Linked DNA regions of Astyanax mexicanus. The protein of the gene in region 4 purifies or fractionates together with the protein of the main gene of each other region. This does not show direct contact. Links are inferred from orthologs where the notes say so. Each region holds a gene or a part of one and is shown on either strand. Other genes may lie near its edges. The genes, in order: vamp3, sybl1, stx7l and stx8.

Region 1 (7,922 bases), on a different chromosome or scaffold from region 4:
ATGGTTATCTTTTTACTCTAGAATTGTGGCTTTTTAGTAACAAAACTATGAGAGAAACGGGAGTACAGCATGCCTTTCTTTGGATTTGTTTGATTTTTTTTTTCCTCGGGGTCTAATGCACACAGCAGACAAACCTCACAGAACACTTAATATCTATAATATAGCTATTTTACCGCAGTACAGAAATTAGATCAATTTAAAATGTATCTATTAAACTATACAAACAAAGACACACAAACACAATCGCATTCAACTACTTTACGTAACACCCAAAGTTGACACAGATGTGCAAATACTCACACACATCTTCTCACAGCTAATTGCTACACAACATTTTGTGCAGATAAACATGAAACTTTTTGCCTAATGCCAGGCAGAAGTAAGAGGGCTAAACACTCAAATGTGAAGTAAAGTTAAAACCATTTTAATAACTTTCAGTCCTTTTGTTTGTAAACACAGTACTACAGTGATTTTCTGGCGCGTTGTCTATGTCTCTGACAAACTGTTCCCAAAAAAAAAAAAAAAAAACACACAATGCAAATTGTGAAAATGCAACATATTGTGAGGTTACATTCTGCATACTGTGCATGACCTACTCAGAACTGACCTGTTCTCGGGGTAAACTGCACTGTGCGAAAGAAAGCACATTTCTTTTAGGATTAGTAAAACAACAGCAGGAAAACAAATCACATGCTCTTTGTTTTAGCTACAGGTCCACTCAGACGACCCTAAAATAACTCAGAACACAAAACATTCACTGTGTGACTAGGTCAACAGTATTTACACAGGTCAACTGATCTTACTACTACTTTTATGACTGAATGTAATCAAATAATTGAAGAAAAGGCATGTAAGAGATCTGGGATTTAAAGGCTGATTTCAATGGCCAATTGTTTTTTAGCTTGAAGTTTACTGGTTAGACAGATAGATGGACAGACATCCACTAATAATGCGTTCTTGCCTTAGACATAACCACAGGTTTGCATGTCTGAATTACTAGACAAAACCATTGTCACCTGATGAAAGAAACAAGCAGAGCCATCTGTCAGACAGCTCATATCCGAACTAAATCTTACTGCTCTCACTTTCACTACCTGATTGCGTTTGTGTTTAACAGACTGTTTAGCAGTTTAACTGTCAAAGACACCAACATACACTCAAATTCTGTATAAAGAAAGAGAGAAATGGATCACAGTGAAACTTTTTATGAAATCTGGTGTTAAAAAATATATATATTGCAGTATATATAGTAGAACAAACAAAAATAGCACAATGCCTGTTTTATTTATGCCCTATTATTTATATTTCTAGACTTTCTACACTGAAAACATCCACACAATACAATGTGACACAAGTGAGACATGAATAGAAACCTACTACAAAAGTATTTTTATTTGTTGCCTCAGGGTAACACTGAGCACATACAGCTCTTATGTTTGATCAATTATACTAAAACATTGGGTCTTATCTTTAGTCCAGGAGACTCCTTTCTCTTCATGTTTTAATCGCTTTCCTGTTACAACACATCACATTTAAAAGTTTGATATATCAACAGGGGCTCCCAAGCTCCCAAAAATGGCTTGAATTATTATTATATTTTTTTCCCAAAAATAGAAATCATGTTAGGGAGGGTTAAGTACAAGGTATGGGCTTTCATATGCCTGTAAAAATAAACACCTTCTCAGTGCATTCGTGATCAAACATACAATGATCTACTTTCACATTTGAGTGTACTAAAGCATTAATACTTGTCTCAGATATTTAGGTACATGTACAGGTAAGTTTGGGATATGTTTTGTGTTGGGATTTTTGGATTCGCATTTATATAACTTAAATTTATGCATCGTAACAAAAAACTGCAGGATTGTTTTATTGAGATTTTTTAACTTAACGTCAATGAAGGGGTTGTCAATTCAAAAACACATAAAAAATAAAATAAAAATAGTCCCCAGACGTACAAACGAAAATCACTTTCTAGTGCACCTTATGGCCTAATCACACAAGGGAGTGTTTCATTTACTTTTGCTGGAGGATATAAGTTTGGGCTTGGTTCCTGTGTTCATTAAGACAGAAAAAAGAGAAAACCGTTGACACATCTCGTACTATGTGGCAATGATGGACAATTGCAGTTTCTAGCGGTTATTTAGCTATAGAATATCCAGAAAAAAACACAAAATATAGCAGAGAGTTTTCTCAACACTGTCCGCGGATTTAAAAACATCATCTCCTTCTCTATCCTTTAGTGATTAGGGGTTTTAATGTAATTATTAATAAATGACGATGTATCAGCAGTTTGGCGCTGTAAAACCACGAAAAATGTGTAAAACCACGGAAAAAAACTTCAATTTTTTGACGCTGGTCGCTAGTTTCTTGAAGTTAACTGACCTAGTTAGCTTAGCTTAGCTTAACGCAGCTAGCCTTTTAAGTAAAAGAGACCGGTAAAAGTTATGCTAAGCTAATTGGCTATCTAGCGCTAGCTAACCTAGCCCTTATATTAAGTTTATTAACTAGCTAACTAATAACAACTAGTCTGGGCGCTGGAACTGTATTTAACTGTAACTGATACTAAAGAAGCTTCTTTTTAGTTAAAGAAAATAAAAATAAACCTAATCAGGTACACAGACTGTTTAACTCAAAACCACGAAGCTTTTTTTAAAGTTACAGCCAAAGAAAACACTAAGATAAGTTATGCTAAGCTAGGCTTGGCTAGTTAGCTAGCTATTTGGCTAGCATGCTAACCTGTTGCTGAGGGAGGCCTGGGGAAGTTTGGGCGTTGTTTTGAGCGAGTATTAGCTGGAGTAGATAGCTAGCTAGTTATCAAACTTCCTAAATATGTATATAGCGAACATAAATATAATCTATCCGCTTAAAAGCGCCCACACATTCGCTATAAAACACACTTACATGGTTGTTGATGTGGTGTTCGGTAGAGGGCCGGCTGCTGTATAAACTCCGTAGTGATCAGTAGCTGCAGCTCTGTCTATCAGTCAGTCTGTGTGGACTACTGTCTCACAGCACACTAACTTAAAGGGCCAGCTCCACACTAAACTACTGACTCAGTTTATTTCCTACATTGTAAATGAATAGTGAAGTGATTTAGACTATGAAGAAACACATAATGAATCGTTTAGTTACTTAAAAGTGTTAAACAAACCAAAATATTCTGTGAAGAAGCATTTAGGTACTGTTAGCATCTAGGGAGCTAGTTAACTTGTATGGGGAGCTGTTTCTGAGGCTGGTAACTCTGAAAAACTTGTCCTGCACAACAGAGGAAACTTCTGCTCTTCTGTGGTACCACATTTCCAACAAACTATTTAGTAAAGTTGGAGGAATTCAGTTTCTATTAAGATGTGATTTTAAAGTTTTAAAAATCTCTGTAAAATTGTCAAATTTCCACAAACAGTCAATAAATAATACTGCAAAGATTATATTTACCTATAACTTTTCACTACATAACTATACTTTGAATAATAGGGCTGTTATTGCTAAAAGTGTGATATTTTTTGTTCTAGACCTATTGAATTCAGGTGGTCTATTTGTATTCTTCTAAGAATTTACTGAAAAGTATAAAATTGTAGTCTCCAGCAAGGGGTATGATAATTGCAATATCTATTTATCGTACAATAAATTAACATGACCTTAATAATTTTTGATAATCGTAATATCGTCTATTGTGTTTATTTGTATATTTGTTCACATATGTAACAGCGAACAGTATTTTAGCCAGTCATGCTTCAATAACTGTGGCTCGATACACACAGTGTGGACTAAAGTAGGTGAAGAAATAAGTATATTAATTCCCAAACTAATTATAATAATTGATTAATTCACATTTTGTTGTCTTTAAAAGGTTTTTAATTGCCTTCTTTATGCTATTCTGTTATTCTGTTATTACAATATATTGTCCACAAAAAAATCTTATCGTGACAGGCCTAGATATGATAAAATATGTAAAACAGAAAATAAGCTAGTTAGTACGGTTTTTAAACAATGTATTATTTGGTGACTTTAACTCATCCTATTCAAGGGGTAATATTGAGGTCTCTTTGAGAAGACAAGCTTTTTGTTTTCATTTATCATGTCAAGAAACCCACTATTAAAATGTAACAGCACAGTATACTGTGATAATGACCTTATAAAAGATTCAAAATTCAAAGTAGCCCCACACCTCACTGGTAGAATTGGTAGAAGCCCTGACATTAATAACTTTAAAAGTGGACAAGAAGCTCATTAAAAAACACTGTTTACAACCCGTAGCGTAGTCTAATCTCTGCCTTATTTTCTAATAAGCTTATTGTGCACTTTTAAAGTTATTAATGCCTCGTTTTAAATGTCAAGGATCTCCGAATTCTGTCAATAAGTTGTGAAGCTACTTTAAGCCTGGATTATAGTGTAAAAAGCGATTTATCTGCAGGGGCAAGTGGATGCCCTGAAGCGTCCATTGTAAAGAGTGCTGGGAAAAAAGCACAAAATTACTGCATCTCGGAAAGCTGCGGGAGAACAGAGGTGGGCTATTTAACAAAGGTTAGTACTCTTTATCATGTTTTACTACACCTAAAGTCAATTTTACACCAGAGTTTTTTTTTTATATCAGTATTATATTTAACTACATATAATCTATAGTCTTAATAAGTATTAGTAAAAAGTGAAAAATACGTGCAAATATTTTATTTTATTTTACATATTTGAGGTTGGGTGTTATTCTTGTAAAATTAATAGAAATTGTACTTTTATTGAGTTAAAAAAATCAACAAATAAAGCTCTTTTAGTCAAGCCTGCTATAGCCCCTCCGAACCTGAGGGTGGCAGTAGAAGGCGGCAGGTACATAGTACAGCGCCCTCTACACTGTTCTCTCAGTAGAGGTGGGCGATACCGGGAATTTTGGTATCGATCCGATACCAAGTAAACGCAGGGCCAGTATTGCCGATATCGATACTGATACCGATACTTTTTAATATTTAAGCTTTATAGATCCAAATGATCCAAAAACCTCGGATAAAATTTCACCAAACATTAGTGATAACAAAATACTTTAGTATCACAATCAACATTTTTTTTAGAAACAATGGAACAGTAACAAAACAAAGTTTAAATATAAAATAAAAAAATATAAAAAAATAAAATAAAAATTCTCCCCTCACTAGACATCTTTTCTAGTTCTTTGTTTCTTTGTTTCTTTTTTTAATAGAATTGTCATTTGGAAAGGAATTGTCTTCCATTCAGTGCAATTCAAATGCAAGTTTTTCTTAAATAAACAGAGTGTAAAAAAATATCACTCAACACAAATCTCCTGAGGTAGAGGCGTGTGGACTCGAGGAGAGCGCTGAGTGGGCGGGGCCAGGCTGAGCCTACCTGCCTGGCGGTTTGGCTGGCTTTGCTGAGCCATGTGATGCATGTGCAACAACAAGAGACCAGAGAGTAGACTGTGGTGAATCTCGTGCACAGCAGTCAGTGCGTGCGGCAGAGAAAAAAGCTTGAATATCGATATTTTTACACGAGTATTGCTCAATACCAATACCAGCGTTGGTATCGATATTATCGATATTTGGATCGATCCGCCCACCTCTATCTCTCAGAACTACAGAGAACTGAGTCTCCTCTGGAGCTGTCTCTTCATTTCTCTCCTGTTTTACAGGTTTGTAGAGGTTAAAATAAATGAATAACTCTATAAAAGTACACAATAGCAATTTCACAGCAGACTCTGACAAGTTATGTACACAAAAAAGGTTGATTTTTGGAAAATGTGGGACTGTTTTGTGTGAGTGTGTGGGTTTGGCCTTGGGCAGCTAGCTAGAGCTAGCTAATCCTGTTCAGTGGGTGAGCTAGCTAAACTCTTAATACGTTTCCCCCAGTGAATTGACAAAGTTTTGTGTTAAAACTGTCATGTTTGGGGAACACTAAATTGTTGAATTGTTTGGAGTATTATGTTGCTGTTTTATTTTTTAATATACAGCCTAGAGTATATTGGTTTTGCTTGAATGTATATGTAAAGGTTTAGTATTAAGAGTTACATTCTCCAAGCATAGTTTCCTTACCAGCGTATAGCTACAAGTAACTTACTCATACTGAGATATTATATACAGCTCTGACACCACTTCAGTGATTTTGCTATTTATAGGTTTATGTTTGAGTGAAATAAACGTTGTTGTTTTATTCTATAAACTACAGACAACATTTCTCCCAAATTTAGAGCATTTATTCGCAGGAAAAAGAGAAATGGCTGAAATAACAAAAAGATGCAGAGCTTTCAGACCTTAAATGCAAAAGAAAAAAAAAAACACAAAAAAACAACAAGTTTGTATTTATAAAGTTTTAAGAGTTCAGAAATCAATATTTGGTGTAATAACCCTGGTTTTTAATCACAGTTTTTATGCATCTTGGCATGTTCTCCTCCACCAGTCTTACACACTGCTTTTGGATAACTTTATGCCTTTACTCCTGGTGCAAAAAATTTAAGCAGTTTTGCTTTGTTTGATGGTTTGTGATCATCCATCTTCCTCTTGATTATATTCCAGAGGTTTTCAATTTGGTAAAATTAAAGAAACTCACCATTTTTTAGTGATCTTTTCTTTTTTTATTTTAGTATTTTAATTCAAAATGTCAAACTCAAATATTATATAGATGTATTACACACAGAGTGATCTATTTTAAGTGTTTATTTCTTTTACTGTTGATAATTGTGGCTAACAGCTTAATGAAATCCTCATCTCTATTTAAAAGTTGTCAGCAAAGGGAAGCATGAAGTGCTGTAAGATTTTACATTTTTTGGTGTTGGTCCACTGTGTTATATCAAGTCCAAAATCATGCAGTGTATACCAGGAGATTTTGCAGCACTTCATGCTTCTCTCTGCTGACAACTTTTATGAAGATGTGGATTTCAATTTCCAGCTGGACCTGGCACAATGCGCCGAAAGCATGCTTTATGGTCATACATAATATTCTAATTTTGTGAGACACTGATTGGATTTTCATTAGCTGTAATCCATAATTATCAACAATAAAATAAATAAATGCTTAAAAAGATCACTCTGTGTGTAATACATCTATATAATAAATGAGTTCCACATTTTAAACTGAGTTACTGAAATAAAGTAAGTAATTTTTTTTAGATGCCCTAGTGTATTTATACTAATGTACAGGCTAATGGAGGTTGTAATCTACTTAATTAAAAAAAGACACTAAACATATGTGAATTTTGTTTATTTTCTAGCTCTATGAATGTGTAAATATTTTTTAGATAAAATACATTGTATATGCAATGAATGAAAGAAAGACAGATATTTAGTGCAAAAAGATTATATTTTAATGAATCAGAGGTTTTACAGAAAAATGTATGACCACAGGTACAGTACCTGTTACACTTAACTTTACAGGTTAGATACAGAGAAAAGTTTGGCCAATTTATTTAATACTCTCCTAAAAGATAAAAAGAGATTTGTGTTTGTCACAGGAACATGCATGGTGTGCTGACACCTTACATATGTTATAGTTTAATTCCTGAAGAAGCAGCATAATGTCCAAAACAGACCTAAATACCAAAAACAGCTACTCTGTACAGATGCTACTAAAACATGGAACAAGAACATTTGAAATATATATTTGTTCCATAAATATGCTTTTAATTTATCTGATTTGTTTGTAAAGTAATAATAGAAAGGCCTGAAATTGACTAGAAAATATTAATTATTGTTGTTTCTTTGTGTTCCATTTTATAGAGTCTCAGACTACCTTCATTGAGTCACAGCACAGAAGCAAAAGGTATTATTCTTCTACTGGAAACACAGTTTGTCCGGTTGAGTGTTTTGTTTCAACAGTAAAAGTGCAGTTCATGTAAGTTCCACTACAACTTATCTACTTCATGTTACAGTCATATGAAAAAGTTTGGGCACCCCTATTAATCTTAATCATTTTTAGTTCTAAAT
Region 2 (7,228 bases), on a different chromosome or scaffold from region 4:
GTTTGTGTGTGTAGAAGGTTTAAGTCTGGCCCTTGTAGTTTCTCCTACAGGGTTCATTCAAACCACTACAAAAAAATCTTAATATTAGAGGAAACACTACAATATGATTGATACATTTGTCATTGCTTAATATAAATTAAAATGCTTCCCCTCCGTTTGAAAAAAATAAGTGCATCCCTAGTTAAATTAATAATAATAATAACTTGAGAGAACTGTTTCATCTGAAAAGTGAAAGCAAGTATACAAGACTTCTTCTCTGGAACTAAACAGCAACATTAAGAGAAAGGTGGAACCTGAGGAAGTATACTTTTATAAATGTATAACATAAACTGTTTGATGCAACTTACCATTTGTGCAGCGAGAGTGCTGGAGAACTCACTGTTCATGGCGTAGGGTAAAGCTGTCTGAGCCCGGGAGCCATAGGTGGTTTGGAAACGTTTCTTCACCTCATTGAGGAAGCTAAACGCACGCGACCTTTCAAAATCCTGCACACAAGGGCACACAAAACAACCTCACTCACTGACATTCATATATGATGTAAAACAAATCACTCTAGACTCAAGTTTACTAATAATAAGCATGATCAGGATTTAATGTTAATGATCTGATCACAGATTTAGCTGCAGAACATTCAAGAACAAAAGTCAATCAGGATGGGATTCATACTTACATCATCTGTGATACATAGATAGATGATTCTGTCATGACAGACGTAGTGGAAGAGATAGCTGAAATCGAGAAGAGCCACGGCAATAATTTAGCAAAGTTCACTTGGAGGAAAAAGGCAATATCAAAGGAGAATCCTCCACATTTACAAAAATTCAACCTCTAAATGTAGGAAATTTGCTATTCAAGAGAAACATACAGAATTACAGAGTACCATAATTCTTCTTTGCATTAGTAGAAACCAGATTTCTTAAGAAATTAATGCATTTAAATGCTTCCTTACAGATATCTGTAATATTAAATAGCTATGCATATCCTTGCTGTGCAATGAAAAACATGTATCTCTACAGTGGTGAAAGCAAAAATCATCTACACTTAGAATGTACAGAGCATATACAGGTTTCAAACAATGGACCGAAAAATGTAAAACCTGACAAAAAAAAAAATGCAGCTACATGCTTTTCCAGTGGACAGCTGTGATATGCTGCTTCATGCCTGAGACACTGTTATATTATTATTATTATTTAGCATTTAGCATTATTTACATGCATTAATTGTAGAGACTTTTTGAATGTGCATCAGATATCACTACACCTGGTTCTCATCACCACCATCGTAAAGAATCAAAATCTGTAAATTTTCCAAATGGAAATATGATGGAATTCACCTTAAATAAAGAAACTTGCTGTGTCTTAGTACTACTAGACATTTTAATAGCAAAAATGAAAAAAAAATCTAATGCCTGCAGTCTGTAGGCTGTTCATCCTACCTGCCATGGGAGTAGGTGAGTTTGTTGTTTTCGGACGGGATTTTGGCCAAAATCTGCTCTGTCACCTCAAGAAAGTTTCCACCACACCAGGCATGTTTGGCCAGTATGGTTGTTCCACGAGCCACCACAGCAAAGAGGATTGCCATAGCAGGGACGAGGGTGATGAGGTCCGAATTACTGACTAAAAACTGCTGCAGGTGCTGTAGATAAAAATGTTAAATATAAGTCTACACCACAACATTGTTGCCTGTTCTATGTCTCAATATTAAAACACATACAGCTCTGCAAAAAAAATAAGAGTTTCTGAATTAGTTTCTCTGATTTTGCTATTTATAGGTATATGATTTATTCTATAAACGACCAACAACGTTTCTCCCGAATTCCAAATAAAAATATTGTCATTTAGAGCATTTATTTCCAGAAAATGCAGAGATTTCAGACCTCAAATAACGCAAAGAAAAGAGGATTATATTCATAAAGCTTTAAGAGTTCAGAAATCAATATTTGGAGGAATAAACCTGGTTTTAATCACAGTTTTTATGCATCTTGGCATCATGTTCTCCTCCACCAGTCTTACACACTGCTTTTGGATAACTTTATGCTGCTTTACTTTTCTTTACTACTGCTAATAATAACATGTCTACACATGTCATGTAGTTATGTTATCATTAGCAGTAGCAAATAAAATTAGAGCTGTAACCTAAAATGAGAGTAAAGAATAAGTTAGACCACAGACTAAAACAGCTTGTCATGTTGTATTAATCATTATTAGGGGCAGGTACGCGAAATTACATCTCGTTTACACAATTGTGGTAATTAGCTAGTTAGTTAGCTAGGGTTAAATAAGCTAATGTTAGTTATAGCTCCTGATGAGTCACAAGCTAATATGATAGCTAACGCTAGCTAGCAGCGTTAGAGACCGACAGTGTTTAAAACCAAAAATAGCGCATTTTTCTCGTCACAAAGAAACCCTATTACCAGCACTATCTAACTTTATCTACAGGCTATGATATAAAACACACCACGGACATAATGAAACCGAAACACATAGCGTTAGCATTAGCATTAGCTAGGTTAGCTACCACAACAACAGCCTCTGGAAGCTGCGAGATTCTCCCAGATCCTCCACCCGTTCTCTTTAACACTCCAGCCCCGATCTGCCTTCACTAACCCCGCCAGCACCCCACCAACCACCTCCTAAATTCCTCAGTAATCAGCTACATAAAGATGGCATCTAAATAATACTGCAATAATACAAAATATTACAGCACTTGAACTGTATCTACCGCACATCCCTGCGATCAACCTAATCACAAAACACTCTACCAACTCTACCAGCGTTACTCAGCTAACTAACAAACAAACACAGTTATATTTACATCCAGCTGTTAGTTTATATAAAGCAAATATAGAATAACATATAAACAGAAAATACAGCTACCTGTCACGCTGTTAAATCACGCATATGAGTCCATCCACACGCTGTAGTCATGAAAACAATCCTCCACAGCTCCTGCGAGCTCTTTCCGCATCGCCCAGCTTCACCCAGACCCCGAGCTTCCGCTGCGCTGCCGGGAAATGTAGTTCAACCGCAGGTTCAGTGTAGTTTTTTCTGAAGTGGGTGAAATTATATTATATTTAGGGATGTCAAAATTAACGTGTTAACGCATGCAGTTAATCTGGAAAATGTATTGTGTATTTTTTTAAACGCAAATTAAACATGTGACAAAATTGACAGAGCCTAGGGATGCATTAACAGTTTTATTTAGCATTATTCCACAGTTAGTTCCAACCCTGCAGTGTGATTGCTTGAGAAGCACTCTATGAGTGCTGTTATCAGCCGATAATGCACTGTAACCGAAGCTCTCCATGTATTACTCTGCCAAATACAGATAATCTAGAAATGATGCAGCGCTTACAAGCCAAACAGTGCAGCTACAAACAGAGCAGCAATGGAACTATTTTATTAAAGATATATACATATGCATAATTCCAAAAAACAAAATGAAATTTTCTCAAAATGTTCATTAATTTAGAACGATTTTTTTACATTGTATATATTGAATTTAATATATGTAAGAGTAAATAAGGCCTAAATAGGTCCGATTTTTTTGTACATTTTATTTTATGGATAAAATATTTACTGAGTATGCCTCTGGGAGTCACAACCAGAGCACTTTAAATGTTTTAAAGCCTTATAACTAGAGTTTTAAAGCTTTACAAATACGCTGGTGCTAATGAAACATTTTATATCGTTCTGTGTTGACACTGTTTAGTTTAAATAAATAAAAATATATAAACTCATATTTTTTTAATATAATCTGTTTTCACTATTACTCCATCGGCACTCATACGAATAGCGCTCTCTGGTGGCTGACCATAACTTTCATCATCAACCTGCGCCAGCCTTTACCCGTCCCGTAAACAAACCCGTGCTTGTGTTTGAGTGACACCTGTTTTTTAATATATTATTTTTATTAAAAAGTCCCCGCGCCGAGACGAGCAGCACGCGCATGCACACATAACAATTACAAAAAAAATTATTATTCCCTCCTGGCTGCATTAAAGCAGTTTAAGCTGATGTTTCTGCTGCAGCTATAATAACAGAACGCGTCACTCCTCTGAGCGGAACGTCATAATGCTGCGACACGCGTGCCACGGTCCAGAACGCGAGCATGGCCGCAGCAGATACAGAGAAGAAGCGCGTGCTGGAGATGGTAGGATTAATATATATTTACGTTATATAATCTGCAGTATTAGACAAAAACTAGACACCTCTTCTGATTCACTGTGTTTCTTTTTATATTATTTTTACATTGTAAATTTAATGCTGAAGACTGTATTAAGGCTATACAGGAACACATGCAGAATTATTCTGTAAACAAAACGTGTTAAACAAACCAGAACATGTTTTAAACTGTAGATATGTGGTTCCCAAATATTTAAAGCAATGTATCACCCATAGTTTAACCAACCATGCTGGCATTTCAACGTTAAATGACAACGTTGATGTTAAGTTTGAACCTTTAATAAACCATAGCTCACATTCTGGATGCTCAAAATTGTACAGAAAACTGTATGCCGTTTGGTTTGTCACCTGGTCTTCCACCCTGAAATGCTTTGTATTTCACAGTACTAAATGTAGTCAAATCAAAAAGTGTTATTGTCAATTCTGCATATTTACAGAAAATACAGAGGATTAAAATTACTACTCTCCTTCCTAAAGTTACAACAAATGCAGCAAGATAAAAATAAAAATAAAATATAAAGAATGAGAGACACTAAATGTACAATACAACAGGGTTACAGACATAGACATGGGATACAAGATACACAAATGACAGTACCATTGTAAACAGAACCTATATAAGCAGTAATGCAAATATAGTGGTATAAAATCTTAAGGCTGGTAAAGTACCACAGTTCTAGATTCTTCTAAATAGCCACATTTAGTAGGAATGTCCTTATCACATTTTTTATGCCCTGAGTCCGAGTCATTTGATTTTGAGTTTCTGCCGATACAGAGTGCCGATCAGATACTTTGGCAATGCAGTAAAAAAAACAAAACTGATATTTACAAGTTGTCCCTTAAAGGTTTTTTAAATATGTTTGTAATTATTACTAAAACAACAGTATCGAATTTTTTTTTCCATTTTTCCATCAAAAGCCATTTTTATCACAAAATTAACAAGTTTAAATAAACATTTAAATATGCATCTTTACTTAAATAAACAAACTAAAAATGTCACACAACAGCAATTCTGTGATTAATAAAACTGAAGATTAATGGTCTATTATAAATGAACACAGCACAGACTGCAGACAGTCAGCTGATATTTCTAAACATCATGATGATTTATTTTATAATGCTGGTCGTTCTATTTTTTTTTTGTTTGTTATTTTTTATTTTTGTTATTTTTTTTATAGAGAGACCGTAATAATGGTATGGTTTAGACCAGGCAGACTAGGTTTAGACTAGACTTTTTACCCTATTATCTTATCTATATTACATTTAGATACATTATTACACACAAGAGGTGTGTACACATTTGACTGGACTGATCGTATAATACATAGTGTATAATACACATTTGTTTAGAAAGAGAAGATATGTTACTGATGCAGTTTAACCTCTCTACCACTAGGGGGCGGCGTGCTGTAGAAGATACTGAGTGTATAATTATTAAAATGCGCAGCACTGAAAGTTAATTACCACATATAAAAGCTCAATATGGTAGAATTAGATTATTATAAAATTTAAATTATGTAAATTGTCAAAACAGTGTGTGTCTTTATGTGTAGTTCAGGGTCAAACGTGTTTTACTTGTTATGCATGTATAGTTGTGGAGGAGACTGTAAACAATGTGTAATAAGTCTGTTTTGTATACTGTGAATAAAATGAGAAATGTATTCTTTTTAGTGCAATAAAATCTATAAACAAAATATAAAACGTTTATTACCTTATCCCGGTCTTTGTATATGTGGCCCCAAAACACCCTCTGCAAGTGAGTAAATGAAAACACACATGCAGATGAATTTACAACAGATATCTTAATTTTTATTTTAAAATAAAAATAAAGATGTATCGGTGTATCTGTAAAAAATAAATACACTATAAAAGCAAATAACTTGCATTTTTACCAATTATATAAATAAAGGCAATGAAAAAATGAACACCAATTAATGCTAAAGTATTCTAAAATGAATATAAAAGGAAAATAAAAAAAATAGAAGTTTTTAATTAAGCAAAGTATTTAAAATAAATACTGACTTAAAGCCACTGATGAACATGCTGTAATTGAATCATTATAAAGTGAGAAAAGTGATAAATCTTAAAAATATAAATATATTTGCCCTACATAGAACTTTAAAGCTTTTTACACCAAAATTCTCTACATATCTTATTTTCAATCATATACTAATGCATATTTCGAGCAGGCAATTTTGCAGTTTTGAATTAGAAAGAATAATACTCCTTTATTTGGCCTCCGTGTGCTATTTTTATTCCTCCTTTATCACAGTTACGTGCAATATGCCACAAAAAAATGATAACATGGTTTTCTAGACTTTGATGCTGAGATTGTAGTTTTGCACAGACCGTCTAATTTCCCCACAATTAGAGACTTCAAACAGTCTCTATATGATAAGAGGATTTTATCCTGTTCTGTTAATGGGGTTTTTAATCAGCTGCTCCCTTCATCCACCTTCTTTATCACTGTTTCACTGAGTTTTTGAAAGCAGAACACACCTCTTTCCTGATCTAAACAAAACAATAGAACTGGCATTTGATCAGTGGAGTCGTCTCACTCCTCTCTTTCCCTCCTTTCCTGTTTAGAAACAGCAGCTGACTGTGTTCATTTATAATAGGCCTGTAATTCATCAGTCACGTCTTAAAGCATTACTGAGTTTCTGTTCCTCACTTCATGAAGAATCATGCAGACTGTGAACACTGCAGGTGTTTCCAAAGCACTGGAGGCCGTTTAGTTCTTTGACCACCAAGTGTATTAAATGAGCTTTTCCATCAGATATAGAGAACTGATATTACTGATCTTATACAGCTCTGGAAATAAAAGAGAGCACTTAAAAATGATGAGTTTCTTTGATTTTACCAAATTAAAAACCTCAGGAATATAATCAAGAGGAAGATGAATGATCACAAGCCATCAAACCACCAAACTGAACTGCTTGAATGTTTCCAAAAGCAGTGTGTAAGACTGGTGGAGGAGAACATGATGCCAAGATGCATGAAAACTGTGATTAAAAACCAGGTTTATTCCAACAAATATTGATTTC
Region 3 (7,978 bases), on a different chromosome or scaffold from region 4:
CAGTTCCTCCAACTCTAGAATTTGGTAGAGGATACATAAGTAACAACACATTAAGAAGCTCACAAGCCACAACTGACAAATACTTGTATTTTTCACAGCAAGAGGAACAAAAAAAGACAAGATCACGGCATGATTTTTCAGTATATGTATATGTTTTCTGTTTAGTCTACTAGAAACTTTTCTCAGCACTTTTATTTTAGTCCCTCATGTTTAGTTCCCAGTTCCTTTTTGACTTTAGTTTCATTCGATTTTGTTTATTCAGCAACTGGACTGCTCTACACAAAATAAATACTGAAATTGAAAAACAATACATTTTACTGCTTACATTTTTCTTTAAACATTTAAAGTACTAAGTGTGACATGATACTGATAAAGCCTATGTTATTGTGTGTTATACCAAATAGGGGTGGGAATCACAGGGCAGATCCCAATATGGTATCACGTTACGTTGCCCATGGTATCGATAATATCATAATACTGTGACTCAATATAATGCAAGACAATTCTGTACAATAGAGGATGAAGAGAATAAAATACAAATATCAGGAATGATGGATCAGTTTTACAGAATTTTACAAACAATATTATTTGTCACAGGTATACCCTTTTTATTTGATTAGCGCCCCCACCTAAAAAAACAGTGACTTTTGTAAGTCAAATTGAGGGCCGAGTCTTCTTAGAGCCCCTATGTTTCAATAAAATATAAGAAAAATAATGATAATTGACGCCACATCAGCATATGTTACAGTCAAAGCGATATGATAATGTATTGTCCCACCACTTGTACCAAACAGTTCCACACATGAATCAACACATCATGTAACACCAAAGAAAGTATATACTTTATTGATTTATAGTTGTCTATATAACATTGTCAATATAACATAACTACATTATAGTTTATATTGTGGATGTCATCAATTCTTTTAAAGTGTGCCAACACATGCTTTTATTTATTTCATCTGCAATGTTTGCCACTATTGTGATACATCAAATATTGTGAAATTGTCTTGACATATCATATGGCATTTATGCCACATTTCCTACCTTAAAAAAACAATACTTCACTGTCTTGCTGTTGACGGAAAAGGGATACCTGATAGCATAAATAATACACAATCCATTAAATTGCCATCCGTAATTTACATACAGGTCTGGAAAAAAACGCGAGACCACTTAAAAATTATGAGTTTCTTTGATTTTACCAAATTGAAAACCTCTTGAATATAAACAAGAGGAAGATGATCACAGTCATCAAACCAAGCTGAACTGCTTGAATTTTTGCCCTAGTAGTGGCATAAAATAATCCAAAAGCAGTGTGTAAGACTGGTGGAGGAGAACATGCCAAGATGCATGAAAACTGTGATTAAAAACCTGGGTTATTCCACCAAATATTGATTTCTAAACCCCTAAAACTTTATGAATATAAACTTGTTTTCTTTGCATTATTTGTGGTAAGAAAGCTCTGCATCTTTTTTTTTGCAATTTCAGTCATTTCTTTTTTTTTTTTTTTTTTAAATAAATGCACTAAATGACAATTGGTAGAAATATTGTCCGTAGTTTATGGAATAAAACAACAATGTTCATTTTACTTGTACCTATAAATAGCAAAATTGGAGAAACTAATTTAGAAACTAAAGTGGTCTTTTAATTTTTTTCCAGAGCTGCATTTGTTCATATTATTTTAGTAGTTGTGCTGCTTCATGATTGATCTCTTTTGATAGCTACTCACAGTAAATGAAACTACCGACAACTACCTCCCCCTGAGGATGGACCTGCAGACAAGAGGGTCCTTCCTATAAGTAAATACAGAGCCAAAATATACCAATACTCTGTACTAAATAAAAAGTAAGTAGGTTATATACTTTTATTTAATTGCAGTTTCTCATAATTAATAAAGGGACACTCTTATGGAGTTCGTAAATCTCAATACTTTTTTGATGACCACTAATCCTTTTTATGCAGGTCTTTGACACACTTTAGTGTGTTTTAGTTTGAGCATGGTACAAGGTATAAAAAGTTTGATAAGCACCGGTTTAGAGTTTGTCCTTCTCCCAACTCATCTGTTAAAGGAGGAAAACACTACAATATAAAGAGCAGAATGTATCACATTATTTAAAATCACATGCATGTGTGTTTTAGTTTGATTATGGGTGGTACAAGGTGTTTTAGAGATTGTCCTGCTCCCAAAACATCTGTTCCAGCTACTCAGCAACTAACCAAGCTCCTCCTGACATGAACTTGGTGTGTAAAGGAGGAAAACACTATGATATGTACAGCAGAAGTTCTCCAGGCCACACTGCAGTCCTGTAGGAGAAGACTGAACCCGGGCCTGAGAGCTGTTTCTGACAGCTGTTCTTACTCTTGTCTCTAAAATACTTTTACTGGAGGATTTGGGAGATTGTACTTATGTCATTAGACAACCTGCTGAGCTTCACAGTCTCCTCTAAAACTCACCTGCTGAACTTAGACAACAGCAAAAATGCGGAAACTAACAAACACACCCAGAAGCAGCTGTCACCAGGTTCAGCTCTCAGACCAGCCTTACACATGTGTGTATATATACAGTATACATACACAGTATATATAGGCTTTATAGGATCTAAATATCAATGTAAGTTTCGCAGAAGTCCCTATAAAGACCGAAACTCACTTATTTAAGCTCTAAAGTCACAAAAAGAAACGAAACCACACTGGCAGCGAAAGTGTTCACGCACCAGAAACCTCCAGCGTCAGTTAACCTAGAGTTAGTTACTGACGCGACACCTAATATACAATACTCTGCACTATTTAACACATTTCCGGATATTTTCACACCACTGTACGTCTCTTAAAGCCGCTCCACATTAAACACAGTCAGTCTCCGGGTTTATCAGCTGTATTAAACGCGTCTTTTTTAGCTTTACCTCGGTTTCCTCGGCTTTGGTGAAAGTATTCTCCACAGCAGACTTCCTCACAGCTGAAGTCCAGCCTGTCACGTGAGAGTCTGTCGGGCGGTGATTGGAGGATTTCACGGTTGTTTTTCCGCACCCGTTTTCGGACAAGGCCCGCCCTCTCCTGCGCTGAGATTGAATAGAATTGTCACTTAAATTAATAAATTAAACTACTTTTTTGCAGTTTAGATATTTTTAAATGTCAAGACAAAATCTTCAACGATAAACTAAACACTAAAAACTAAAAAAGACACCAAGCCCAGTTATCATTGCTTATGTCAAAGGTTCTCAAACATTTTACAACCAACCTGTTTATAACCAAAGGTGTCAAGACAGTATTCAAATGAATGTGATTATTTACAATAATATGTTAATTCAGAAGCCCAGAAAGAAACTGGACAAAATTAACACCCTTTTAAAATGGCAAGAAACAACTGGATTATTGTCATACAGTGCTTCTGTAATTAGCATTTGTGGCACATAACAAATGCAATATACACTGATAAAAAAAAAGGTCACACACTCTTATATTTTGTTGGACTGCATTTAGCTTTGATCGCGGCACACATTTGCTGTGGCATTGTTTCTGTAATGTCTTAAGATTTATTTCAATCCAGTGTTGCATTATGTATATTTATTTATTATAAGTTTCTCATTGGAGCAAAGTTCTGGACTCTGGTGAACAATCCATGTGTGAAAATGATGATCTCATGTTCCCTGAACCGCTCTTTCACAATTCCAGCACCCTGAATCCATGCATTGTCATTTTTGAATATGCCCGTTTCATCAGGGAAGAAAAAATCCATTGATGGAATAATCTGGTCTATATTCTGTATGTTCAGGTAGTCAGCTGACCTCATTCTTTCAGCACATACTGTTGCTGAACCTAAACCTGACCAACTGCAGCAACCCCAGATCTTTTGCTTAGTTAAATCCAGGGGACGACTTGTAGAAAAAAGATCACATGTTCAGCCAGTTTTAAATAGAACAATTTTGAGTGCTTGTATTTTGTTTTAAGACATTATCTGCCCATGGCACTATACAAAAATATGTGGACAGTGAGACAATCTTTAGTAATTGGGCTCTGCATGCCACCACACTGTATTTGAAATGAAACAAATGAGATGCAACTGAAGTAGACTTTCAGGTTTGATTTAAGGTGTTGAACAAAAACATCCAATGAAGTGTTTAGGAATTAAAACTATTTTCTAAAATGACTGCCTGGATTTTGGAACCCATCAACATCCTATATGATGCTTTACCAGACTGCTACTGCAGCTGTTTTCAGTTGTTGTTTGCTTGTGGGTTTTGCCTTAAGCAAGTGAAAGGCACCTTGATCGGGTTGAGATCTGGTGACTGACTCGGCCACAGCAGAATATTCTACTTCTTCACCTCAAAAACTCCATGTTTTGGCTCCATCTGTACAGTTTAGCCCTGTTTAACTAACCTTTCTGCATTTGGTTGAATCTAAGCATAAAGTAAATCTCTGTACACTTCAGAATTCATCCTTTTGCTTCTGTCTTATCTTCAATAAACACTAGTGAACCAGTGCCACTGGAAGCCATGCATGCTCATACCACCACCATGTTTAAAGCGGCAGTGCGTATTATTTTGTTTCTAAACTAAAAGCAGAAGCATTTCTGAGTGAAGAAGGGATAAAATATTGTGTTTAAAGGTACCAGTGTGCTGGAACGACCATCCCAGCTTAGCCTAATATATTCATTCTAAAAACTAGGGTTTCGGGTCAATAGTATATATTATATGCAGAACCAGAGACTGCAGTTTTAGGACCGCAGTAGTTTCAGGACCGCAGTTCTAGAACCCTATGTTTTCGCGACACTGCCACCTAGCGAAATTAATGACTTACTACTCCTTAATATAATATCATCACTTTATCTAACAACTTACAGATTTGAAGTCTTATCTCACCCAAATATTACCAATTCAGCTAACTACTTTTTAATGTTTATTTCACCCAAATATCACTTTGTCTCAGAATTTGTCTTAGAACTCCCAACCACATATCAGAGACACAAGGATGTCTTTGGGCTCTATTATGTATTTGATATCTAAAATGGATTCAAACTACTTTTCGAAAGATTGAAATCTTTTTGGAACTTCAAGTTAATATATAATAATATCTAAGAAACTGGTCAGGCAAAACAAAAAAAGAGTGGTCCAAAATTCCAGTATAGAAGTGTTTCTGAAGCCTGTGGTATGAATATTTTGTACAGTTTCTTTCTGCAGTTCTGTGTGGAAAGATGCAACATTTTTCTTTTTGCTTTTTTGTGTTTTGGTTGTTTATCAGCGTAGGTGGTGCATTTTCTGTAAGAAGTGCAGAGATGGCAGAATTTTGGCCATTTCTGTAAATGTAAATGTGTGGCAGTAAATTGCACTGTCCTACAAGCCTGAAATGTGGTAAATACTTGACTTCACCTATTCAGAGTCCTGCCATCCCCACAACCCCACATTTTAATTAAACAAATTAATTTTTAATTTGATCACTAACACGAAATGCTTTTGCCCCAAATTATGGCACAATGTTTCCTTTATAAAACTGCAACCAGACAGTTTAATGATTAGGATGTACTGTTTAAAAAGAGAAAAAGCGGTGTGGTGAGAAATTTTACATTCTAAAGATATTGTTCATAGGTGATAAATAGAAGAGTCCACAGAGTTCAATTTAAGAGAAATAAAGTTTAAAGCTTCACCACAGAAAGTTATTTAAAGAAAGTTTTGAAATAGTTTACATAGTTATGAAATAAATCTTTGAAAATGTATTCAAGGTGAATGAATACATGACAGTGCATTGTGGGGCAAAATAGTCCCCAACAAAAACCTATTTGTTCAGATTTGCATTCTACCATTGTCATTACATAGATAAACATATAAGAGGTTCTTTGGTGTTTTTAGATGTTAAAATGTAAAAATGATGATTAATTAAAATGATTTATTTTGTTTTGTAGTCATTGTGACATTTGTTTCCCATAACCACCATTGTAAAAACATGAAATAGTATGTATAACATAAAAATCTAAAAATGAAAAAAAAATAATATATATATATATATATATATATATATATATATATGACAGTGTTCTCTACTGAAAACAACAAAACAGCTAGTTTGATAATCTGATCCTGAATCTGTTCACATTCCATAACACAAAAATCAAAAATAAAATATTTCACATTAACACATTTCATTTTCTTACATTTACTTAATGTAACACATTCTATGCATGTGCGCATCTAAATATGTAAGTCCAAATGCTATTGATCAGTGTTAAGCAGTTTAAAATGCAAATAAATGATGAAATGTGACATACATTTTATTTATTCATTATAATACAATATATTTTACTCTTTAGAAGAACTAAAGTACATAAATAACACAACCTGCTATGCTAAAGACATTTAAGCTAGAAAAATGTTTGTGTCAGAGGAATGAGGAGTAAATATTCTCAGTGTAACAATAAGATAGAGGGATTTCCTGAACCACGGGTAGAAGAGGCCATATATTATAGGATTTAAAGTTGAATTAAGGTAACCCAGCCAGACAAGCACTTCAAAGAGTACCGCAGGTGTGGAGAAGTTGATGTAAGGATCAACTATAGAGTTAACAAAAAAGGGCATCCAGCAAAGAATAAATGCACCTACTACAATGCCGAGGGTTTTTGCTGCTTTGTTCTCATGTTTCACACTTTGAGACACCGTATTCATGCTGGTCCCTTTCTTGCACTGCTTCTTGCCTTCAATTTTCGTCGCATGCTTTTTTGACACCAAAAATATTTTAGCATACAAACAACCCATGACCGAGCATGGCAAAAGGAATCCAATCAATGTATCCAAAGCCCCCCATAGTGCATTAAACAAAAGGTCACAACTTCCCACACAGAAAATTGACTCCATATACTCTTCCAGATTTGCTACGTTTGCTTTTGAATACATTAGACCATATGAATACACCGCAGCTGTAGTCCAACTCAGAGCTACCATTAACCATGCAGTGGGTATAGTTATTCTTGTGGGGTAGTGAAGAGGATGGCACACAGCCTGATAGCGGTCTGTCGCAATACAGACCAGGTGGAAGATAGATGCAGAGGTCAGAAGCATGTCAAAACTAGAGTGCAGTAAACAAAAGCCTTGTCCAAAGTACCAGCAGCCATCCACAGATCGGATCGTGCTGAAGGGCATGACAATCATGCCCACAAACAGGTCGGCCAAGGCTAGAGACATCACCAGAATGTTTGTGGGTGTATGGAGTTGTTTAAAATGTGCAATGGAGACAATAACCACAAAGTTCCCAAGAACAGTCACTGCCATTGCCAAAATGAGTAAAAAATATAAAACAGATTTAGCTCCTACACTGTAAAAGCTTTTTACACATGAGGCATTAGATTCAGGATAACAATATTGGCTTAAATCTGCTTCTTCTGTTAAATATGATTCCATTGTAGATGTAAAACTTGAATTTGTGGCTTGTAGCATCTCAAAGTCCCCCTTTACATAAAGAAAAAAACCTGAGAAAAAAAGAGAGCCGTCTTCCTCTAGTCTGCACGTTCAAGAGGCGAGGTACAGAATCAGCCCTGCTAAGAAAAGTGAGAACTTATATTGGCTTCCTTCCTGAGAAAAACTATTCCCACTGCTGCCATGAAAAACCTTTTCCCATGATGTTAATAATTACAGGTGCATCTCAAAAAATTGTGAAACTATATATTATAAAGCTGTATTACATAGAGTGTTTTTAGCCGCTTGGACTGTGTGACTCTACACTCTTCCTCCGGACTCTGGTCCCTTGATATCTAAATGAAATGCAAAATTAACTGATGATCAGTGATGGTGTGTAGAGCCATGTCACCTGCTGGTGTTGGTCCACTGTGTTATATCAAATCCAAAGTCAGTGCAGTGTTTTCCCGGAAAATCTTACAACACTTCATGCTTCCTTCTGCTTCCTTCTACTTTTATGGAGACACATTTTAAAAACTAGCCTAGTCCATGTAGGAGATAGATGTTCTACTAGATAGATGTTAACTGTTTTCCTG
Region 4 (7,705 bases):
TGTCATCCTGATGTAATTTTACACGCACCTGATGCTTCATGGAATAAGTCTTTAGAGTTTTAGCTGTTTTTGTAGGTTTGTGTTATACTTGTGTAGATGTAATTCAGGCCTATAAAGGCAGTTTTTTTGTAACGTCTCAACAGAATAACAAATATGGAAATTGCTGGAACATTTTGCAAATAATAGAACCATTTTTGCTATTTATATTGATATTGATATGTTATTAGAAGAAGCATCAAAAAAGGTGTATAAAAGGCAGTATAAAAGTGTTTAGATATATATACAGCCCTGGAAAAAGTAAGAGACCACTTAAAAATGAGGATTTTTATTTTATTTTTACCAACAAGAGGAAGACGGATTATCACAAGCCATCAAACCAAACTGAACAGCTTGAAACTCCTAAAACTTTATAAATATAAGAATTTGTTTTCTTTGTATTTCTTTGCATTTGAGGTCTGAAAGCTCTGTATATTTATTTTTTATATTTCAGACATTTCTCATTTTCTGCAAATAAATGTTCTAAATGACAATTTTTTACATTTGGAATTTGGGAGAAATGTTGTCTTTAGTTTATAGAATAAAACAACAATGCTCATTTTACTTAAACATAAACCTATAAATAGCAAAATCAGATAGAAACTGATTCAAACCCTGAAGTGGTCTCTTATTTTTTCCCCAGATCTGTATATTTGGGAGTGTATAAGGTGCATACAGGTGTATAATAGCACATATTAGAGTTTATAAGCATGTATAAGTGCTTATTAAAGTGAATAAATGTGTAGGAGTTTATAAATATGTATAAAATTGTATAAGCATGTATAAAAAAACATTTAGAAATTTATAAGCATGTACAATGGCTTATAAAAGTATTTCTACTCCTTGAACAGTTTCACATTTTGTCACCTTATAATCACAAATTTAATTTTATTTCGTTGAGATTTTAAGTGATAAGCCAACACAAAATAGCACATAATTGTGAAGTGGAACTCCAAAACACTGGCAGCTGTAATTGCAGTGAAAGATAGGTCTACTAATAACTTTGCATGTCACACTTTTATTATTTTTATTTGAATAAAAATTTGAAAATCATGTATCATTTTCACTCCACTTCACAATCATGTGCTACATTGTGTCTGTCTATCACTTAAATTCTCAATAAAATACATTTAAGCTTGCGGTTGTAAGGTGACAAACTGTGAAAAAGTACAAGGGGTATGAATACTGTATAACATTTTATAAGCATGTATAAGAGTGTATAATAATTTATAGGAGTTTGGAAGAGTGGTGAAAGGATACATGCGGCGCTGTGATGAGGCTCGAACCAGTGTCTCCCTCAGTTGTAAGATGTTCTGTTTCAGCTTCTGCAGCGACGCTCTTAGAGTCATGTTGAGCTGCACAGAAAAAGCATTAACTTAAATTAACCATACGTTAATAACTTTAACTTATATTCATCAGATATAACTACTACCAGTAATATTGGGTAGGACTGTGCACTATGCACTCTACATTCACTGTACAGTATTTTTATAGCCATTTGTATTTTCTTTTTATCATATTGTCCTAGAAATAATTGGATTAAAAAAAATCACTGTCAATGTAAGACCACATTTATGTAATTTATACAATAATGTTATAACATTAAAGCGCTTCTAAAGAGCAGTGTTCTTTTCATTATCAAACATTATTATTATACAAATTTCCAAAAAAATTTAAATGATAGTTATTACAGTTAAAGTTGACATTCATGTTAATTACGGTAACCATTAGCCTGTCAGCCTTAGCCTGACTATGAAGAAATATTCTACAGACCAAATCAGAAAGTTTGTGCACATGCCTCGACTACTGCAATGCCCTGCTAAATGGCCTCCCGGCCTGTGTAGTAAAACCACTCCAAATGATCCAGAATGCAGCAGCACGTCTGGTCTTCAACCAGCCAAAACGGGCACATGTCACCCCGCTGCTCATTGAGCTCCATTGGCTACCAGTTGATGCTCGCATCAAATTCAAAGCTCTTACAATCGCCTACAAGGTGATGACAGAACCGCTCCTTCCTACCTGCACTTGCTCCTGAAGGCTTACGTCACCTCCCGGTCGCTGCGCTCCTCCAACGAATGTCACCTCGCTTTACCAAACAAACATTCACACAAAGTAATCCAGACTGTTCTCATACAGAGTTCCCCAATGGTGGAACAAACTACCTTCTACTACCAGATCAGGAGAATCTCTCACTATCTTTAAGAGACTCCTGAAGACAGAGCTTCCTCTTCAAAGAGCACTTACTCTCCTAACACCTCTAACACACTAACTACTTCTAACCTCATTTCCTTCTTCCCCTCCTTCACTTCTCTATCCCATTATTTCCCTTTGACCTCCTTTAAGCCCCTATCTAAAGATGTTTTACCTTTAAACTTCTATTACTTTGTACTTGACTATTGTAAGTCGCTTTGGACAAAAGCGTCTGCTAAATGTAATTTAATGTAATGTAATGTAATTTAATGTAACATACTGGCTGGCTTCCAGTTTGCATTTAGCAGCTACTTCTCTCTGTCTCAGTTTCTTTATTATGTTATTATCTACTCTATAAATTAGTGAAAATGTTCTGTATTACACTCTGTTGATGAGCGTGACTGGTAAAGTCCTGTTGTATTAGTTTATAGCTCTCATGAGTTCAATGGTTTTTGTGAGGAAACTCTGATTTGTCTAATTCTAATCAATTCTAACATTATTTTGAGGTCATTTCTTTACCTTGGCAGGGTTCCCACCGGTTCTCTGCAGTCTGTTCCGCTCATGGATGTTCTCTGCGATTTCTTGGGCCAGTCGGCAAGTGGCATCATAATTCTGCAACCTGATGAAATAGTGGTTCAAAACAATAGCACTGTTTTCTACACAAAGTAGAACGAGATCAATTAAACAGTTAAATAAAAAAAAACTATTAACAATATTTAATTATACACCTAACCTACAAGTTCTCCTCTACTCCTTTCCTGATGAGTGCCATTTTAATCATTACATTTTTGACGATCTTTGTGACTGCACTTGAGGATATTTTCAAAGTTTTTGGATTGACAGACCTTAAGAAATAAAAATTAAAACATTACATTACATTATATTACTGTGTGGTTAGCTGTACTGACAATTTGACAACTTGAATAAAACGGGCAAATAAAAAGCACACTAAACCTGAATGTGCTTGTCTCAAACATGCTAGGTAGTTACGTAAGTTATCTCTCTGGCTACAGTTATGAAGCTAGATAATTCTAAAAATGCAGTGGAGTTTCCTCTATAGTTTCTGTTTTAGTTCAGTAAAGAAAGCTCGCTGGATTAAAAAGATCCATAAACAGAAACTGTTCTGTTTTTGAGCAAGAAATATCTGGTCGGAGTGTTGAACACGTTCAGAGTTTACGTTATATGGTGTGGTTTGTATGGTAGTGTCTGCACTGCGGTGTTATTAACGCTAATTATCAGCAGACAGTCTGAGTTTAAACTGCAGGACTGCATCATGAGACTGGGATCAGCTGACTGAGAGCTTCTCCCTCTAAACACCAGGACAAAAATCTCTCACACTGATTTGCCGTCTTTACACACCAGTAACCCCAGAGCCCGGATAAGTACAGGTCTCAGGACAGTACGCAGTAAGAAGTTCTCCAGCAGCTTTAGCTATATGTTAATGATTTTAGTTATCTGGTTAGCTGACCTGAGCTAACTCTCTCTACAGCTCGAGCTGCTGCTGATACAGATAACTTATATAGCGCTGTATAAGGAGAACTAAGCGAGGCTGAAGCTCAGACTTACCACAGGTCCTGAGCCATGTTTCATCTGAACTGCGCTGAATTAACCCAGAGTTTTACTGAAAACTCAAAAGCAGAAAAAATCTAACACGAAAATCAAAACAAAGCTACAGCGATCAGCTGCTTCCTGTTTCACTCTGCGACTGAGTACAGAGCGCTGTAAGGGACAAACTGCACTCGGTATTGGAAACGCGAAGCTAATGTTTTTTTATTTACACGGACATTTCTGCACATTTTCTAAAATGTCACCCTTTTAAATTAATTTCAGAGAGGTATATCTCCTCTGGTATAGCTCCATATAAAAAGTAATAATAAATAAATAAATATAAAGAAAATAAATGTTACCTGTGGTTAAATCGCCTACATCCTCAGGTAAAATATCAACATTTCAAAATAGCTTTCCAGGAGGACAGCTAGTTTCACGGAACTTATTTCAGGGCTCGTCCCCATTTGTTAAGTTATATAAATACTAAATAAGTACTCTAATATAAGATTTACATCCTAGTAATAAAGGCTACAATATATAAATACTTCATAGTTGTTTAGTTTTCGTATAAAAGTCTATAAAGCTAGCTAGAAATGCTCTACAATTGTCTTCTGTCTTTTCAATCAGTATTTTACTGTTTTCTAGTTGTTTCTACTGCTCCCCTGTCTCATAAACTATTCTCTTAATCCATTACCTCTGTAAATTAATTACATTATTTTACATTTATCAAACCTTCACTATCATGCTAAATGTTTTATAACCTTTTAGGAGAAACAAAAACCTTGTTGCTACCAACTTTGAATGGAAGTTAATGTAATTAAAATACTACATACTAAAATACATTTTATACAATTTAAGTCATTTTGGAGCATTTTTATACAGCACAAAGAAAAATGACTAAATTCACATTATGAAGAAATGTGTATTAACAAAAACAATATTGTAATCAAACCTTTCCTAAATTCACATCCGCACATTTAACCCTAAGTTTATTGTATACAGTTGTACAGTTAATATTTTTTAAAAAGGGTTAATCTTTTTTAAAAGCCCAGCAGAAACTTATCCAATCTGTTGTTTTTTTTTGTCTGTGGTGTTTAGTCAGCCAAATTGTTGACACAGTCAGCTTGTTGATTTTTAAATATTATATTCACAGCCATGTCATATTAATGTGTAAAGTTCCACAGGACCAGTATATTGGACTATTTCATGCTTCTGTATTATAAATGTAATACTTATACTACTCTAATACAAGAAAACACATAATATGTTATAAAGGCACATCAAGGGACCACTTTTAGATGGAGTCCAAGGACATGGTTAACATAATTTTTTCCATGGGTATAAAAAAATACAAACAAATTTTATTTTCTTAAATGAATTGTAATGATAACTAACTTGAGACAATATCTCAGATAATCCTTCCCCAAAAGCAGGAAAACCCTTGACATTTTCCTGTCACGTCCTTTCTAGTAAAAATAATATATATATATATATACATTTTACACTTATTTACTTATTTTACCAAATTAGGAGAATAATCCAAATACAAAATTTATAATGAAATAAAAAGGTTTTAACTTATACCAAACATAAGAATGTAAACAATGATAATAAGTTCTCAATTAATAAACCTCATTAATGATAATTTCTTAATCAATGATAATCATAAAAAGTAGAATGTCTTCAATGCCGAACCAAGATATTCACAGGTTAGACCTTTCTAAAGTATCCAGGCTTTATACAATACAATGTATTAATCAAAGTTGATATCATATGAAGATTTTTAAACTTTTTTTGTCATCTGACAAAACGTGATTTATGTGACTGACACTAAGTAACATGACTGGAAGACATCATAAAGCCCCACATTTAAGGCCAAAAGCTGTCTATATTTTGTTTCAAGAATAAAAACACGTGTTGGAATAAGAAGTCATGTGAGATGCTGTACATTTGTTTGCTTGCTTGTTTATTTGTTTGTTTTTTGTAAGTGCAATACCTCACAAATATGTTGCAGTGTTATTTTTTTTGTAATGTTGATTGTGGAAACATAACTTCAGACATTATAGAGGAGAATATTTATATTAATATTTATATTAATATTAATATGACTTCTTTGGCATAGAAAGATATTACTCTCTAATATTAGTTTCATAAGCTCATGTAGGTTATTCTAAATTCTCCTTTAAACTTCTCTAAACTCTGTAACTCTTTTTCTAAAGCTGTCAGACTCTTCCACATTTATCTAAACTCTTCTAACTCACTCTAGAGTCTTCTAAACTCTTGCAAACCTTTCTGTTCTTTATGTAAGTAGTGCTATAACAGCCATGCTTCAGGTTTCCCCAGGTAGTGAATTTACTCGTTTTGGTCTGGTGGATTTGGAGCGAGGGAACGATGCAGGTGCCGCTCCTCTGGCTGGCTGTCGGAGACTTCGCTCCTGTTCCCTTTTTGTTCCTGAGGGTTCTGGAAGGATTGACTTAAACTTCAGCAGACCCAGGTCCAGATCCTTCTACATGTGTGAACCTGATGACAGCAGTGAGTCCAGGTCTGAAGGGACCAGTACTGGAAGATCTTTCTCCCTGCAGACAGACTTGGAGAAGAAAGATGACAGCCACACCAAACTGGCACCCAAGAGATCCAAGGCATGCACACATAAACACCTCAAAAAAGACCACACAGGTAAGAGTGACTTCATTTGAAAACAGTATTTATGCAGTATTCAATTTAAAGTGTGTAATGGGGGAAGGATTGGGGTGTAGGTTGGTTTATCATTACATTCTTTGTTAATGAGGTTTTTTAGATATTTTGTTAACTAGATTTACAGCAACAATACATTATGGCAAGGTTTTCAGAGACTGTACTGATTACTCTTCATAATATTATTTTTGTTTTGCTTTTTGTTGTGGTGATTCATGTACACTAAGTCTACGTTCACATTACAAGCCACATTCCTCAAATCCGATTTTTTGTCTATCTTGACGCTTTACATTCACAAGTGTAAGTGATCTGTATCTGTGTGTAATGTGAACAAATCTGTCCCAGAAACATCTAACATGCACACACTGATACTTTTAAAACATTGCCTTCTTCATCAACAACAAAAATGTCATATTTGAGAGACGACTTGTACCTTTATAGAGGTGAAATGGATGTGTTAGCAGCTCATATGTGGAGCATCTTTTGCTCGAGTGGAGAGCAAACAACTAGTCTGAAGTACATGCTCAGCTCGAGGCGGTGAAAAAAGGCCAGGCGGTTTGCTTTTGCTGGCACAAGAAATATGAGAGGGTATAAGAGAGAAGCACGTAGTACATGCGTAAAAGCAAAAAGACGCATGAATTCTGATTTGACAGTTCACATTCATGTCTCATATCAATGGATCGAATTCGTATCTAATTTAGGACCACGTATGGAAATGGCTCAACTCTGATTTGAAAAAGTCAGATTTGGCACATTCACACAGCCATGAAAAAATTAGATCTGAGCCACATTCAGCAAAAAATCAGATTTGAGTAACTTCAGCCTGGTAATGTAAACATTCCCATTCCAGTTTCCCAGGTTTAGGCATAGTCAAAGACTATATTTTTCTGTAAACTGAAAATCTCCTATTAAAATACTGGGCAATCATAAACTAAATTTTATTTTAGATTTTATATTTAATGCCTGTTGATATCGCCTGCCCCTCTTGTCAGACCAAGTGTGGGAACTCTGTGCAAAGGTGACCATATAATGACCATATTTTGGTCAATACACTATAATTCTGAATTAATTTTTCAGCTCATGTAAAGCACCCTGTAATAAACGTCAGTCAGTGTTAAAAATGCCAAAATAATGTATTTTGGACTATTGGAAATGTTTCTACAAATCATGTGACCATTATTATATTGTTACTGTACATACTCAATCAGCCAAATGCTTTCCATATGGTAAAATAAGA

The links.
Region 1: the proteins of stx8 (region 4) and vamp3 purify together in Homo sapiens (co-immunoprecipitation; 3 studies listed by BioGRID and IntAct, with this or other methods). This does not show direct contact. The link is inferred for Astyanax mexicanus from reciprocal best matches to the Homo sapiens genes STX8 and VAMP3.
Region 2: the proteins of stx8 (region 4) and sybl1 purify together in Homo sapiens (affinity purification with western blotting; 3 studies listed by BioGRID and IntAct, with this or other methods). This does not show direct contact. The link is inferred for Astyanax mexicanus from reciprocal best matches to the Homo sapiens genes STX8 and VAMP7.
Region 3: the proteins of stx8 (region 4) and stx7l purify together in Homo sapiens (affinity purification with mass spectrometry; 5 studies listed by BioGRID and IntAct, counting the BioPlex papers as one, with this or other methods). This does not show direct contact. The link is inferred for Astyanax mexicanus from reciprocal best matches to the Homo sapiens genes STX8 and STX7.

What each region holds. Positions count from the first base shown.
Region 1 is NC_064431.1:5,052,399-5,060,320, forward strand, and holds the start of vamp3 (vesicle-associated membrane protein 3), read right to left. Parts: upstream 3,013-7,922; 5' UTR 2,907-3,012; coding exon 2,905-2,906; intron 1-2,904. UniProt on the Homo sapiens protein: SNARE involved in vesicular transport from the late endosomes to the trans-Golgi network.
Region 2 is NC_064417.1:2,196,106-2,203,333, forward strand, and holds the start of sybl1 (vesicle-associated membrane protein 7), read right to left. Parts: upstream 3,013-7,228; 5' UTR 2,877-3,012; intron 1,636-2,876; 5' UTR 1,582-1,635; coding exon 1,436-1,581; intron 729-1,435; coding exon 671-728; intron 486-670; coding exon 348-485; intron 1-347. Other genes in the region: polr1d (DNA-directed RNA polymerases I and III subunit RPAC2), read left to right, coding at 4,111-4,152. UniProt on the Homo sapiens protein: Involved in the targeting and/or fusion of transport vesicles to their target membrane during transport of proteins from the early endosome to the lysosome. Required for heterotypic fusion of late endosomes with lysosomes and homotypic lysosomal fusion.
Region 3 is NC_064408.1:40,137,391-40,145,368, forward strand, and holds the start of stx7l (syntaxin-7), read right to left. Parts: upstream 3,015-7,978; 5' UTR 2,907-3,014; intron 15-2,906; 5' UTR 1-14. Other genes in the region: trace amine-associated receptor 13c-like, read right to left, coding at 6,351-7,424. UniProt on the Homo sapiens protein: May be involved in protein trafficking from the plasma membrane to the early endosome (EE) as well as in homotypic fusion of endocytic organelles. Mediates the endocytic trafficking from early endosomes to late endosomes and lysosomes.
Region 4 is NC_064412.1:26,666,164-26,673,868, forward strand, and holds the start of stx8 (syntaxin-8), read right to left. Parts: upstream 3,014-7,705; 5' UTR 3,008-3,013; coding exon 2,964-3,007; intron 2,846-2,963; coding exon 2,746-2,845; intron 1,392-2,745; coding exon 1,297-1,391; intron 1-1,296. UniProt on the Homo sapiens protein: Vesicle trafficking protein that functions in the early secretory pathway, possibly by mediating retrograde transport from cis-Golgi membranes to the ER.